Linked DNA regions of Oryza sativa Japonica Group. The protein of the gene in region 2 binds, or shares a complex with, the protein of the main gene of each other region. Links are inferred from orthologs where the notes say so. Each region holds a gene or a part of one and is shown on either strand. Other genes may lie near its edges.

The links. The genes of interacting proteins can lie anywhere in the genome.
Region 1: rps4 (region 2) and small ribosomal subunit protein cS23 share a complex: the UniProt entries of both Arabidopsis thaliana proteins name them as parts of the 30S ribosomal subunit. The link is inferred for Oryza sativa Japonica Group from reciprocal best matches to the Arabidopsis thaliana genes rps4 and PSRP3/1.

The regions. Positions count from the first base shown.
Region 1 is NC_089038.1:23,518,258-23,525,658, reverse strand, and holds small ribosomal subunit protein cS23, read right to left. Parts: upstream 4,082-7,401; 5' UTR 4,030-4,081; coding exon 3,760-4,029; intron 2,916-3,759; coding exon 2,634-2,915; 3' UTR 2,472-2,633; downstream 1-2,471. Other genes in the region: transcription factor MYB106, read right to left, coding at 5,049-5,823, 6,733-6,862, 7,007-7,139. UniProt on the Arabidopsis thaliana protein: Component of the chloroplast ribosome (chloro-ribosome), a dedicated translation machinery responsible for the synthesis of chloroplast genome-encoded proteins, including proteins of the transcription and translation machinery and components of the photosynthetic apparatus.
Region 2 is NC_001320.1:43,054-49,385, forward strand, and holds rps4 (ribosomal protein S4), read right to left. Parts: upstream 2,363-6,332; coding exon 1,757-2,362; downstream 1-1,756. Other genes in the region: photosystem I assembly protein Ycf3, read right to left, coding at 661-784; ndhJ (NADH dehydrogenase subunit J), read right to left, coding at 4,939-5,418; ndhK (NADH dehydrogenase subunit K), read right to left, coding at 5,516-6,193; ndhC (NADH dehydrogenase subunit 3), read right to left, coding at 6,247-6,332. UniProt on the Arabidopsis thaliana protein: One of the primary rRNA binding proteins, it binds directly to 16S rRNA where it nucleates assembly of the body of the 30S subunit. With S5 and S12 plays an important role in translational accuracy.

The DNA.
Region 1 (7,401 bases), on a different chromosome or scaffold from region 2:
TTTGGGACAAAAAATGACTTATAATAAAAAAAATTCAACTACAAAGGTGTAGATCGCGTCGAGGGCTACAAGTTCGATATAAAGTTTATCTTCATTAGAGTTCACATGAAAAAGTTATGAATTATTTTTAAATATAAAGTCTTTAGACCGTCCTATTTGATCCAGATGATATTCAAATCCAAGTTTAGGGACCGGGGTGACACAACTGAACAAGTTTGTGGACCTAAACGAGTGATCTGCAAGTTTAGGGACGGGATGACACAGTCGAACAAGTTTGAGGACCTAAACGGTCGATTTGCGAGTTTAGGGACCGGGATGACACAGCGGTAAAAGTTTAGGGACCGGTGATGGACTTTACTCTTTATAATATTGTCTCGACAGTTTGGATCCAGCTGGCGAATCAAGCCACAGTGCATATTTGTTTTAGGTCCGCTTTTCTGACCTACCAAATGGGCTGAGAGGTCGAGTTCACGTGAATAGATGTGCTTTTATTAATGGTACTCGTGATAACCCCCTTTATATTGATCACCTCAAGTTGATCCGTTCCACTCCTATGCCGCTTGTTAATGTACTTGCTTATTTAGATGAGTGTTTTTTCGTTACTATCTCCGCAGATGCATCATGATTCGGTAAATATATAAAACCATTTCTTTTTACATGACTAAAGCTAAAACCCAATATCCTTCCCTTTGTTTTAAAATAATCAAACACACAATTACATAGCCATGGGAGAGATCGAACAAGCTGTACTGTGAATATGTGAGTATCCCAAACGGTTTTCTTTGCCAAACTCACGGCAGTGCAGGCCATAAGCGTGACACAGAGGATCGATCTAGGACTAGGACAGCAGCGGATCCGTACACCGGAACTTTTAATTTGATGAAGTAGTACTAAACATGGCAGCTCGAACAAAACTAGGTTTTAGAGATCCAATTCATGGTGGAACCCATGCATGTGAGCACCACGGGGTGATGCCTCACCAAACCGCCGTGCTTATCTGACTCAGCCTCCCCTTAAAAATAAGAGACAAAGACCACCTGATCATGTCGAAAACGTCCTAAGAGAAAGGATAATAATACAGCCAGCTGCTTACTTATAGCCTATCTATCAGCTCACTCGTATAATGGTTAACTCTTCACTATAAATATATGGTTCACATGTCTGTCTCACAGATTTTCTTGGTTCCTGTGCCTAAGCCGGCTGTAAACTTACAGCCCGCTTCTCATCTCTCTCCTCTTTTCTCCTATCCACTTCAGCATTCAGCTTTCTTATAGCTCACTATTATACTTGCTCTAATCTCGATCGATCGATCGCCCATGGTGGCAATAGTTTAATCCCCAGAGGCCACAAGTGTCAATCATCAGGTCGATGGGAAGAAAAGGGCAAGATGACGAGATTGACGCCGTGCAGGGGATTCCCAAATGGGGCTGATTCGTCCTTTTCAGGTGTACATTTCCCATTTTTATACTGCCTGCCTGGAGCTCTGCGATGAACTTGGACAACTTTATAGGGAAGCTACGTATACTTTGCCAGCCTCTCTCTCCGGTTATCGCAAGTAATAAAGCCTAAAGCGGCACGTTACTCTGTAAGGAAGTTGAGTGTTAAGAAGGTAAAGATGCCATCTGAGCAGTGCATTACACAATTGAGTTGATTGGTCAGTCTCTACTATAGTAGTAGTACTTACCTTTTTCTTATGGGAGGACAGTTGGTAGTGCTAGCTAGCTTAACAATATTCTACTTTGATCATAGAAAACAGTACTAGTACTAAGTTAGTACTACGTTGTCGAAGAGGAAAAAAATAAGTTATCTCTTTGGGACTTAACAATACTCTGTTTCCTTTCATTAGAAAAAAAAAAATCAGTACTGCTAAATAAGCTTATCTTCTGGTACACGCGGTACAGGTTCTCCATTATTTTTTTTCCTAGCGAGTCCAGCTTCCTGCTTCCCTACCTAGGAGGTCCAACTCCAACCCAACGCCTCCATGTGCCTTGCCCCTCCTCCCCCCTTGGCCGAGATGATGATAAGCTGCTACGCCTTGCTCAGTTGCTCCCATGCCTTTTGAACGCTTTTGAGACCGTGACCAAGCTGGCGCGGCGCTGCATGCGGCGTGAGAACGAGCGTCGCAGCACGACGCGCGGGCACCACGACGACTCCACGAGTCCACGAGCGTTTTCACGCTCGTTTCGCACAGGCTCACGCGTTGCCGCAGCCCGTTTTGCAGAGGCCTACGCGTGGACGGCCTAGGCTCGTGGTGCGCGGAGCGGGCCGGGCTTTTTCAGGGCATCACCGGTGTTAGTTAATCGCAGTAGAAGGGGTATATGCCCCCGTGACCCCAAATCTCTTCGAAAGAAAAGAAATTCCCCTTTTTCTTCAAGTTCAAAATATCGAGTTACATTTATTTAACTGGATCATGGTATAGTAGTATCAAGAGGTATTAGCAATCTTCCCTGCGGATGATGGAGCCCAAATCGTTTACCTTACAGAGATCAATCACAATTCATTTCCATAAACAAAACCGTATCCGAAAACAGTTTGAATCGATCTACAGGGTCATGTAACAACAAAGATCCGTGTAACCAAAGCAAGAAAAAAAGAAACAAGGTTCTCAAGGATGGGAGAATTGAGATATCCTCTTAGGTTGACAAGCTGCCACCACCCTGTTGCCAAAGGTTGATGATATCAGTGGCCTGATTCAGAAGGATGATCATCTGTTTCTGAGAGATCCACTCTTTCTCCTCCAGCTTTGCTCTTAGCTCCTCCCAGGCATCTTTCCGTGGCCAGAAGTAGTATGGGCTTAACGGAATGCTGCCATAGCCGGGAACCAACTGGTCGAGGGCTATGCCAATGTTCTTCTCCATCCATATGAACTTCAGAACAAGCATTGGATCCTGCCTTTCAGGCACCTTAACCTTGTACTGCGATACAAAATCAATTCGTTTCAAATCTCATAATGCTAATACTGATTTTGCATATCTGAGTAAAATAAATTGTGCAGTTTTAACACAGCTCAAGTCGTAGTAAAATAAATTGCAACAACTACTGTACGTGTTCCATTGACAACTTCATTTCTCTACAAAAGGCCCCATTTTTCAACTGTGAGGGTAACTCCCATATAATCAAAACTAATCCACTTTTAGTGTACATCTCTGAAATCTGATATAGTGATGAAAAAGGAACTTATTGTGCCTGTTAATGTTGTTACATAATCACGTAAATAGCTGAATGAAAAAAAACTCCTTTCATGACCAAAACCTGTCAATGCTACAGTTTGTTCAATAGTTCAGTTCTTGCTTACACATACAACCAAAAATGGCACACGCTCAAGTTTGTGGACATGCTTTCATGTGCTCTTCGCCTCTTCATCACTAGCATACACCTTTTATCTGCAGAAGTGCAAAACTGCACCAAAAGGACAGCCCGAGTGCCCAAACATGCTCAACTAGACTAGAACTTCTCTAATTTACTCTACTTGTGACTTCTCTTAAGCTTTCAGCTGTGCATTGTGTCTAAAGATTTACTCTACTCGTGAATTCACCCAAATGTACACCTCGTACTGTATTTCACCTATGAGCTCAAGTAATCAGTTCGGTAACCAAAATTGATTCAAGAAAAATCAAATTCATGCGAAACCAAATGTGATTGAACTCCATCCTCTTCAAAAAACAACACTTCCTTCTGAAATTGAGCTCGACTCGGTAAAAAAAAAAACCCCGTAATTTCAGTCACTGGCATGGTTTGGAGCGGCTACTAGCCCATTACCTCCTGCGCTTCCTCGCCGGCGCTCGCATCCCCACCTCCGACTTGCTTCTCCTCTTCTCCCTCCTCCGCTTCGACGGCGCCAGAAGCGGCGGCGGCGGCGAGGCCACGGAGCGAGCGAAGGGGAAGCCTCCTGCTGCCGAGGTGGACGAGGCGTGGAGTGGAGGAGGAGGAGGTGGTGCAGGGGGAGGCGGCGGAAAGCTTGGGCCGGGAGATGCGGGCGCGCGAGGCGAGGGCCGGCGTGGCGGCGGGGTGGACGGACATCGCCAGCATCGTGTCCGAGTCCGAGGCTCCTGTGCGGATAAGAGGAGGAAGACGATGGTGCGGGGCTGCCTCCTCTTATCTTTACCCTTAATAATCCCCTTCTCGTCAGCTATTAGATGTGGGCTAGAAAGTTATGGTAAAGCCCAATATGGCCCAGCACAAAACGGCCCGGCCCAGATCCAATCTAAGTAAAAAGCTCACAGCTCAATCGTCTCGGTTATTCGAGAATAAACGAAATGGCATATTTGTAAATAAAAAATAATTTGTGAATAAATCTTTTATATATATATTTTTAACGATCTAAAAGCAAAGACTGAAAAATAAACCTTCGATAAAAAAAATAAAATCAACCCCAAATTTAAAGGTAAAAATTTAAATTTTGACTGATAAACATAAGTATAAGCGAAAAGATGAGGCCGTCCGTTTGCCTTCAGCAGGGTTTGCAAAACCGTCTGTAACCGTGCGATTACCGCGCTTACCGTGGGGTACGGTAAAAGGGAAACCGCGGTAACCCCCTTAAATTCAAATAAATTTAAAAAATAATTTTAAATTTTGATAAATTTTACACGGTTACCGTGTGGTAACCCCGGTCCGGTGGTTTGGGAAACCCTGGCCTTCAGTAGTGCTAGTGCCCAGTTGCCAACCGCTTGGGCGTAGTAAAAACTGATAGTGGAATGAAATGAACCGGGTACAAAGTACTGAAATGATCGTAAGTTTTGAAAAAAAACAAGCAGGAGTAGTAACTTTGCAAGTAAGGATGCTACATTCTCTGATAGTAGTTTCAGTGTTTTACACATTCTATAAGAACACCGAACAAAACAAGCATCGAATTTCAAATGTCGATACAGCCTTGAACAGTTGAAGTTCTTGCCCACAAGTTTAATCGAAAGCATTGTCAGGTTAACCCAAGAACGTGATTAATAATTACTAACATTAATATTAGTCCCATCTTATTCGACAATCATTGCTAAACTATTTACTGTGTCATGAGATCGAATCAAGTTTGATGCCGGCGAGGTTTTCTCCGCTCAGAAGTCCGGCGCCGGCGAGTACGCGTGGGAGGCGGGCACAACCACGGCCGTCGACATAGGTGCCGACGAGGAGTTCACCAGGTTCAGTATGCTGTTCCAGTAGTTCTTCTCCTCCTCGGTCTCCTGGAACTCGCCGTCGGCTTCCGCGTCTCTCCCCGCCGGCCTCGGGATCTGGTTCAAGGAGCCTTCGAGGAGTAGGCCCGTGAACCCCGCTCCGGCGCCGGGGAAGCCCACGTCGGCGGCGTCGACGTCGCCCCAGTGCTGGTCCTTGCACGCCTCGTCGTACGCCTGCATGGGCTGCATGGCGGCGCGCGCGGCCGCCGCGGCGGCGGCGCCGTGCGCCTCCAGCACGGTGGCGAGCACCGCGCTCTCCGAGAAGCTCAGCGTGGACGTCGGCGAGTCGAGGCCGTGAGCCGCCGCCGCCGCCGCCGCCGACGCGGGGGGTGCCGGGAGGTGCGGCGCGCCCGGGGTCGCGGAGGCCGCGAGCGCGCGCAGCTTGGCCTCCCGAGCCAAGCGCGCCTCCGCCTCGAGCCGCGCGCTCTCCCACTGCGCCGTGTGGCTGAGGTGCGCCGCGGCCTTGGCGTGCTGCGCGCCCGCCGCGCCGCCGGCCGCACCTCCGCCGCCGCCGCCCGCGCCGGCCACGTCGGAGCGCGGCTTGTGCGTGACCGGGTCGATCCCCATCTTGGCCAGCCGCTTCTTTAGGTGCGTGTTCCAGTAGTTCTTGATCTCGTTGTCCGTGCGCTTCGGCAGGTGCGTCGCGATCGCCGACCACCTGCAAAACAACAACAACGCCAACGCCGGCCAAGAAAAAAGATCAGGAAAATCGCACGTCAAAAGCCCTCCATTCGCAGTGACAAAATTAAACAAACAGCACTCTTGAAAACGTAAATAATCGGCGGTGTGATTTAAGGCGTGCGTGGCGTAGTACAGACAGAGGGCAGAGATGATCGGAAGCTGTGAGTCAAAATGGGAAGAGGGGCAGGTGGCAACAGTGGACCAAACCCCAGTTTTGGTCCACAATGATGGGGGGGCTCGCCTCCTTAAATGACGAGCTTGAATGCCGAATCATATGGGAGAAAAGAAAGGAAAATTCTGGGCCGAGCCTCTCACTGCCCAACCTTTTCACACTTTTTCCCTTGTTGATGCATGCATTGATTGGTCTGTGCTCACAGCTAATGCGTGGTTGTTCGACGGGCAAAAGATGAGCAATGCAGCATTACGTGTGAACAAAACGAAAACAAGTGATGATTCTGTTCTAACGTAAGAATTTTTAGCCTAGCTTGTGTGTTAATCTATGGACAGTACGGTTTGTTACGGACAAAATGCTGAAGCAGGTGTGTACGGGGACAGCAAGTAAGTAGCACGGCCTGCGAAATTTACACATCCCCTGGCTAAGCTCCGTGTTCCAACCCTTGCATTGCATAACCCTTTCATAAATGTCTGCCAAGACTACGGTGCAGAATGGTGGCTACTGGCTAGTGTGTTCTTGACCTGCCGGTCAGCAACAAGTACTAGCAGTCAAAATTCGTGCAGGAGAATCAAGGGTTCCATCGCGATTACGGAATTAAATGTGCTCCGGGTGCGAGGTGAAGAACGAGCGAGCAGCTAGCAGGAGGGAGAGTTGTGCACTACGTATCTTGTATGCATGATGCATCCATGCGAAAACGAAGTAATCGATCACCTGTTGCCGAGAAGGGCGTGGAGCTGGATGATGGTCTGCTCCTCCTGCAGGCTGAACTTGCCCCTCTTGATGTCCGGCCGGAGGTAGTTCGTCCACCGGAGTCGGCAGCTCTTGCCGCACCGCTGCAGCCCTGCACACGATTGTCACGGTTTGCATGCACCTCAGATCAGAGTTCAGAGAGTAGCCAGCCTCGAGGATCGATCGCCTCGACCGAACATTGCAGCTAGGATTGCAGAGGTTGAGAAGAAATTTAAGCTAGATAAGCGGCGCTTACCGGCCTTGGAGGGTAGCGAGCGCCAGCAGCCGTGGCCGTGCTGCTCGATGTAGGCCAGCAGCTTCTGGTCCTCCTCCGGCGTCCATGGCCCCTTCTTGAGCCCCTCCTTCTCGCAGCACGGCGATCGCCCCATCGCCGGAGAAAAGCAACAGCAGCAGCGAGCTCTAGGAAAACTCCTCCCCGATGATCTTCGACGCCCTCTGGTTCTTCCTCCTCTCCTCTTCTCTCGGGCTCAAGTAGTAGGTCTATGTGTAGTAGTACGTGATCGAGGCAATTCACTACGAGAGATCTTCTTTGCAGGGAGCTGTGGCTCTCTGCGAGTGACTAATGCAGCAGCAGAGTCAGTGAGAGTGTGTGTGTGTGTGAGAGAGAGAGAGAGAGAGAGAGAGGCCAAA
Region 2 (6,332 bases):
CATAGTACTAAGCGAAAAAATCTAGAGAATAAAAATAGAATTAGTTCCATCTCATTATGGACCGAAAGGGGCTGGTAATTTTTCCAAGAAATCTCTAGCCAACCTTCCCACAAGAGGTTTTTCTTAACACCAATGAATTCTATTAATGCTAGAGGAAAACGATAGCTCCAAGAATTTCTTTGTTCTCAACGCCTCCTATTTAGAGGAATTAGCCACTTCAACGATCTTTGATGGTTATAGGGGTATCCAAAGTACAAACTTGATGGTTGTTTGTTATCCCAACCATTCTTCCCAGCCCTGATACCAATCAGGAAAGGGTTAATTTCTAACAAAGTTTTTCTCTTGTTGATTCCTATTTCTAGGTGTAGTGCTTTTATCCCCTATGCTACCTATTAGTACTAGTAGAGTAGGATTAGCCTGTAATACAGAACCTATCCTGTAGGTGTAACCTTTCGCTCAATACTAAAATCTACAATTGAAGCATCCGAGGCCGCGTCAGTCGAGGATACACGACAGAAGGAGTTGTTAGTTCACCTCACCTTCCCTAAGCGTGGTTCCCTTACTAATTTGGTTTTTCTCTCCGCGAACCCCCCACTCTTTTCTCGTTAAAACCGGGGTGTAGGTAGGGCTAAAAAAACAAAAAAAAGAGTCAAATCGCACCATCTCTATAATAAGTAAATGCCCTTTTTTCCCCGGAGGTTGTCGGAATTATTCGCAATAAAATATTGGCTACAATTGAGAAGGTCTTATCAATGAAATTTCCATTTATACGGGATCTAGGCATAATTCCCAACCCATTCTATCATTCTATATAGAATTCTTTTCATTCCTTCACAAAATAACATAAAAAAAAAACAAATCCATTCAATTCTTATCAAATCGATCCCTATGCTCCAAATGGATAAGAGAGGTATTTCTGCTCAGCCCAAATTCTCTCTTTTTCCTTCTGTTTGAACAAGAAGAGATAGAAAATATTTGACTAAGATTGGATTTCATTCCACTTTCCTATTTCTTTTCTCAACAACAACTTCTCTCATCAACTATTTCGCATTTTCAAAAGTCATTAATCGTCCCATACCCTATTTTCTATTTGATTGTATGGGGTAGGATACCTTATGCAAACAGAATTCTAGGGTTCCTTTTTTATCGAATAAGAAGAATTCTTCCATTCTCTTTTTCTTTGGTTTGGGGAAAACCCAAACTAAAACTTTTCGAGGGAGCGGAATTCCTAGTAAAAAAATCCTGGACCCGTCCACTTAGATGAAAAGGAATTTTTCTATCTAATAGAACAATGGAACTCTCGCGCGGTTGTGGTTGTACCTGTACTGCAGGAATAGGAAAACTCGCTATTCACTCAGTTTTTTTTCCATAATAAGATTATGGAGGAGAGATGGCCGAGCGGTTCAAGGCGTAGCATTGGAACTGCTATGTAGACTTTTGTTTACCGAGGGTTCGAATCCCTCTCTTTCCGTTTTTCTTAATTCAGCAACGTTAATGATTACAATGTATCAAATCAAATGACAATTTATTCCAGCAATAATACAATACCTTTATTTAATAGAAATTCTCTATACCAAATTACTATGGTATGTAAAATACACATAGAGGAAAGAACAAAAAACAAAAAGGAATCCTAGGGTTAATCCATTTCTGTTAGGTGAATGGGAAAATACGAATTAAGAGCCTTAGGTCGATTTAGTTCGGGGAAAGGGGAAGGGAAGAAAAATTCTATGAACCTTTCCGTTTTTCCTTAAGTTCAAGTTTGACGAGAGTAATATTCTACAACTAACAACTCATTTATTTTGAGACCGACCCACTTCCTATCCAGGATTTTTTTTACTAGTCCTTTATATTGCAATGTGTCAATCGTCAAATGCTTTGGCAATTTCCCCGGGTCGGATGAAGCAATAGAATTTTGAACCAGACGTTTTGATCTTTGGTTATCCTTCGTAGTAATAATATCTCGGGGTTTGCAACGAAAACTTGGTATATCGACTATACGACCATTAACTAAAATATGTCTATGGTTAACTAATTGCCGGGCCTCGGGAATGGTTGAAGCCATACCTAATCGAAAAAGGATATTATCCAAACGCATTTCAAGTAATTGTAGTAAAACCTGACCTGTTGAACTTTTTGCTTTTCCAGCGATATGTACATATCTAAGTAATTGTCGTTCTGTCAGACCATAATGAAAACGCAATTTCTGTTTTTCTTGAAGACGAATACGATATTGTTCTTTTTTCCCAGAATGGAATTTCTTTTTCAGATTACTTCCGGATTTAGGTGTTTTTCTAGTGAGTCCTGGTAAAGCTCCCAGACGGCGTATTTTTTTAAAACGAGGTCCTCGATAACGGGACATGAAGACTCCTTTTTTTATTGAAATTTCATTTTACACAATTAATTTCATTGTATTTACATTACAGAATACATCGAAATTAAAACTGAATTAAAGTAAAGGATAAACAGAGTAAAATCTACTAAAAGTACCACAAAAAAATGGAATTTCATCAACATCTGAATTTTTGTATATATATTATTTATTTTATTGTTTTGTATCTAGCAAAATTGTAGGGTAGACCGACATAATAGATCCTGGCTTCTCCATTTAATTCGGAGAAAAAGAGGTATTTTTGTTCATGGAACATTGATAGAGAAAAAAGCCGACTATCGGATTTGAACCGATGACCCTCGCATTACAAATGCGATGCTCTAACCTCTGAGCTAAGTGGGCTTACATAACAGAAATAGTGTAACAAATAGAAATATGTATAGTATAGGAAATCCGTAAAATGTCAGATCTTAATTATTAATCTTAGCTATTAACTAGTTCGAAATTGGAAGTTCTACTTAGAAAAAAATACTAGAACTTCATAAAATAAAGTTAGATAGATTTTTTTGAACTTTCTTTTTTCTCTAATTCGCAAATCTATTTTTCTAATAGAATCTATTCCAATTTCTATATTGAATTTGATTTTAGATATTTTTAATTTGATATGGCTCGGACGAATAATCTAATACATGGAAAAGAATAAATAATATATATTATATACGAAAACATAATAAAGAGAACATGCGAATTTCTTGTATTTTCAGTCCATCATTATAGACATTTTTTGAGATTATTTTGTTTTTTTTTGTTATTTGCTAATAATTTAATGATTAATATTTCACTAAGGAGAACATAGAATCATAGCAAATGAAATTGCTAATTCTGATTAGCAAAAAAAAAGAATGAATATCAAGCGTTATAGTATGATTTTGAATACTCTAAAAAAGGAACGCGGTAGGTGGGGGAGAGAAAAACCTTGGGATATATTGATTCGCATTGAATTGCAAATACATCAACGATAGAATCAATTCAATGCTGAATTGCAATAAGCGGAGTCTCTCAACTAGAGACGAACCGCTAGACTACATAGAGTAATGAATTCAACGATTCAAAAAAAACTAACAGATGGAGGAAATTGCACAAGGAATCCTGGTCTCAAAGAAAAAGAAAATGGGGATATGGCGAAATCGGTAGACGCTACGGACTTGATTGTATTGAGCCTTGGTATGGAAACCTGCTAAGTGGCAACTTCCAAATTCAGAGAAACCCTGGAATTAAAAAAGGGGCAATCCTGAGCCAAATCCATGTTTTGAGAAAACAAGCGGTTCTCGAACTAGAACCCAAAGGAAAAGGATAGGTGCAGAGACTCAATGGAAGCTGTTCTAACGAATCGAGTTAATTACGTTGTGTTGCTAGCGGAACTCCCTTCTAAATTAGGGAAAGAAGGGCTTTCGAAATCTAATACCACGTATAGATACTGGCATAGCAAACGATTAATCACAGAACTCATATCATAATATAGGTTCTTTAATTCTTTTTTAAAATGAAAATAGGAATGATTATGAAATAGAAAATTCATAATTTTTTTAGAATTGTTGTGAATCCATTCCAATCGAATATTGAGTAATCAAATCCTTCAATTCATAGTTTTCGAAATCTTTTTAAAAGCGGATTAATCGGACGAGGATAAAGAGAGAGTCCCATTCTACATGTCAATACTGACAACAATGAAATTTCTAGTAAAAGCAAAATCCGTCGACTTTCTAAGTCGTGAGGGTTCAAGTCCCTCTATCCCCAAACCCTCTTTTATTCCTAACTCTAGTATTTATCCTGTTTTTTTATTAATAGGTTTAAGATTCAATGGAATACATTTCTTTTTTATTATAGTATCGGCAAGGAATGTCGATTATTAACTCGATATTTAAATATTATTAAATAGGCTTTCTTTGTACAATGCATAGGACTGCCCCCTCCCCATTTCCAAATTTTGGATATTGACATAGATACAAATACTCTACTAGGATGATGCACAAGAAAAGGTCAGGATAGCTCAGTTGGTAGAGCAGAGGACTGAAAATCCTCGTGTCACCAGTTCAAATCTGGTTCCTGGCACAGAAAAAAGGGATCTTCCGAATAGGTATTGATACAAATACCTCGAGATGGGTTGGGATACATATTCGTTAATAATATAGATAGAGTATGATTTTTTCATCTAAGTAGATAAATCTCTAAATAGAGGCACTTCTTTTTCTGCATTTTTGCATTTCTTAATTTTCTATTCCGCTATTCCGACAAATATTTTTTTATTCTTGCTTATCTTATCTTACTTTACTAGTTGTTCTAAGTAATGCACGCGGTACAAAGTTCGTGGTAGGGAACTTCTTTGAGTCATCATATTTTTCTGTTCATACGAAGGAAATGAATATGTGATTTTCCAACGAAATGAAGCCCTTTTTTGCTTAGTCTATCTGAACCTTTTGTATAATTGGAATTAATTAGAATGTAATAGGTATTCTGTTTCATCTAGGAACAGAGCGTAAAAATATTCCTTGACTTGCATAAAATCTGGAGTTGTGTTGTATAAGTGAGCATGAATTTCTTATCATTCAATGAGCATCTTGTATTTCATAGAAATTGGGGGTTATATAGTCCTTACGTAAGGGCCAGCCTATCCAACTTTCAGGCATTAGGATACGTTTAAGGCGTGGATGATTATCATAAGAGATTCCCACCATATCAAAAGATTCGCGTTCTTGAAAATCGGAACTTCTCCAAATCCAGAAGACAGATGGGATTCTAGGATTATCCTTTTGGGCAAAGACTTTTATGCATACTTCTTCTGGGTTATCTATACCATACTGTATTCTCGTAAGATGATACACGCTAGCTAAAGATCCACCGGGTGCAACGTCATAAGCACATTGGGAACGTAAATAATTGTAACCATATACATATAAAATGACAGCAATGGAATCCCAATCCTCTGCTTTTATTTGCAAAGTCTCTATTCCTCGATGATCGAAGCCCAAAGATCTATGAACCACCTCATGTTTGACTAGCCAATTAGATAACCAACCCTGCTGCATTATCTTGATCTCTCCTCCTTTGTATAAATATTTCGCAGTTCGAATGCAAGTTTGAAATATTGCCCTGCTCTTTCTTTTTCGGCACAAAGAGCTCCTCCTAATTCACTAATTTGTAGGAAGATACTGGACTTTTGGATTTGAAAAAAGTTTCAGAAGATATGTCTAAAGTAGATGGTGATTGATAGAGCAATTCTTGCTCATAAGTTCCAGTATTAGTACTGCGCCGAACATAAAGCTTGTGGCTGGTAGTAAAACATCGATTTTTCTTTTGAGATAGAGTTCGATCCTCAACTATTTCTCGCGATATCTTCTTACGAAGTTTTGTTAGGGCATCTATAACAGCCTCTGGTTTAGGTGGGCAACCCGGCAAGTAGACGTCCACAGGAATTAACTTATCAACTCCCCGAACAGTACTATAGGAATCCGTACTGAACATTCCACCAGTAATAGTACAAGCTCCCATAGCAATGACGTATTTTGGTTCAGGCATTTGCTCATATAATCTCACTAAAGAGGGAGCCATTTTCATTGTTACTGTACCGGCTGTTAAAATTAGGTCCGCTTGCCTAGGACTTGATCTTGGTACCAATCCATAACGATCAAAGTCGAATCGTGAGCCTATTAATGAAGCAAATTCAATGAAACAACAACTGGTACCATATAGAAGGGGCCATAAACTAGAGAGTCTTGACCAATTCGAAAGATCTTTTAGTGTAGTTGAAATAACGGAATTGGAACTTCTTTGGTCAAGTAGGGGAAACTCAATCAAACTCATAACTGTCTTAATGGAATCTTTTCCTTCTTTTTTTTTTTTGTCTGAATATTCAGTTAAGACCATTCCAAGGCTCCTTTTCGCCATGCATAAACTAAACCAACAACTAGGATAAGCACGAAAATGAAAGCTTCGATAAAAA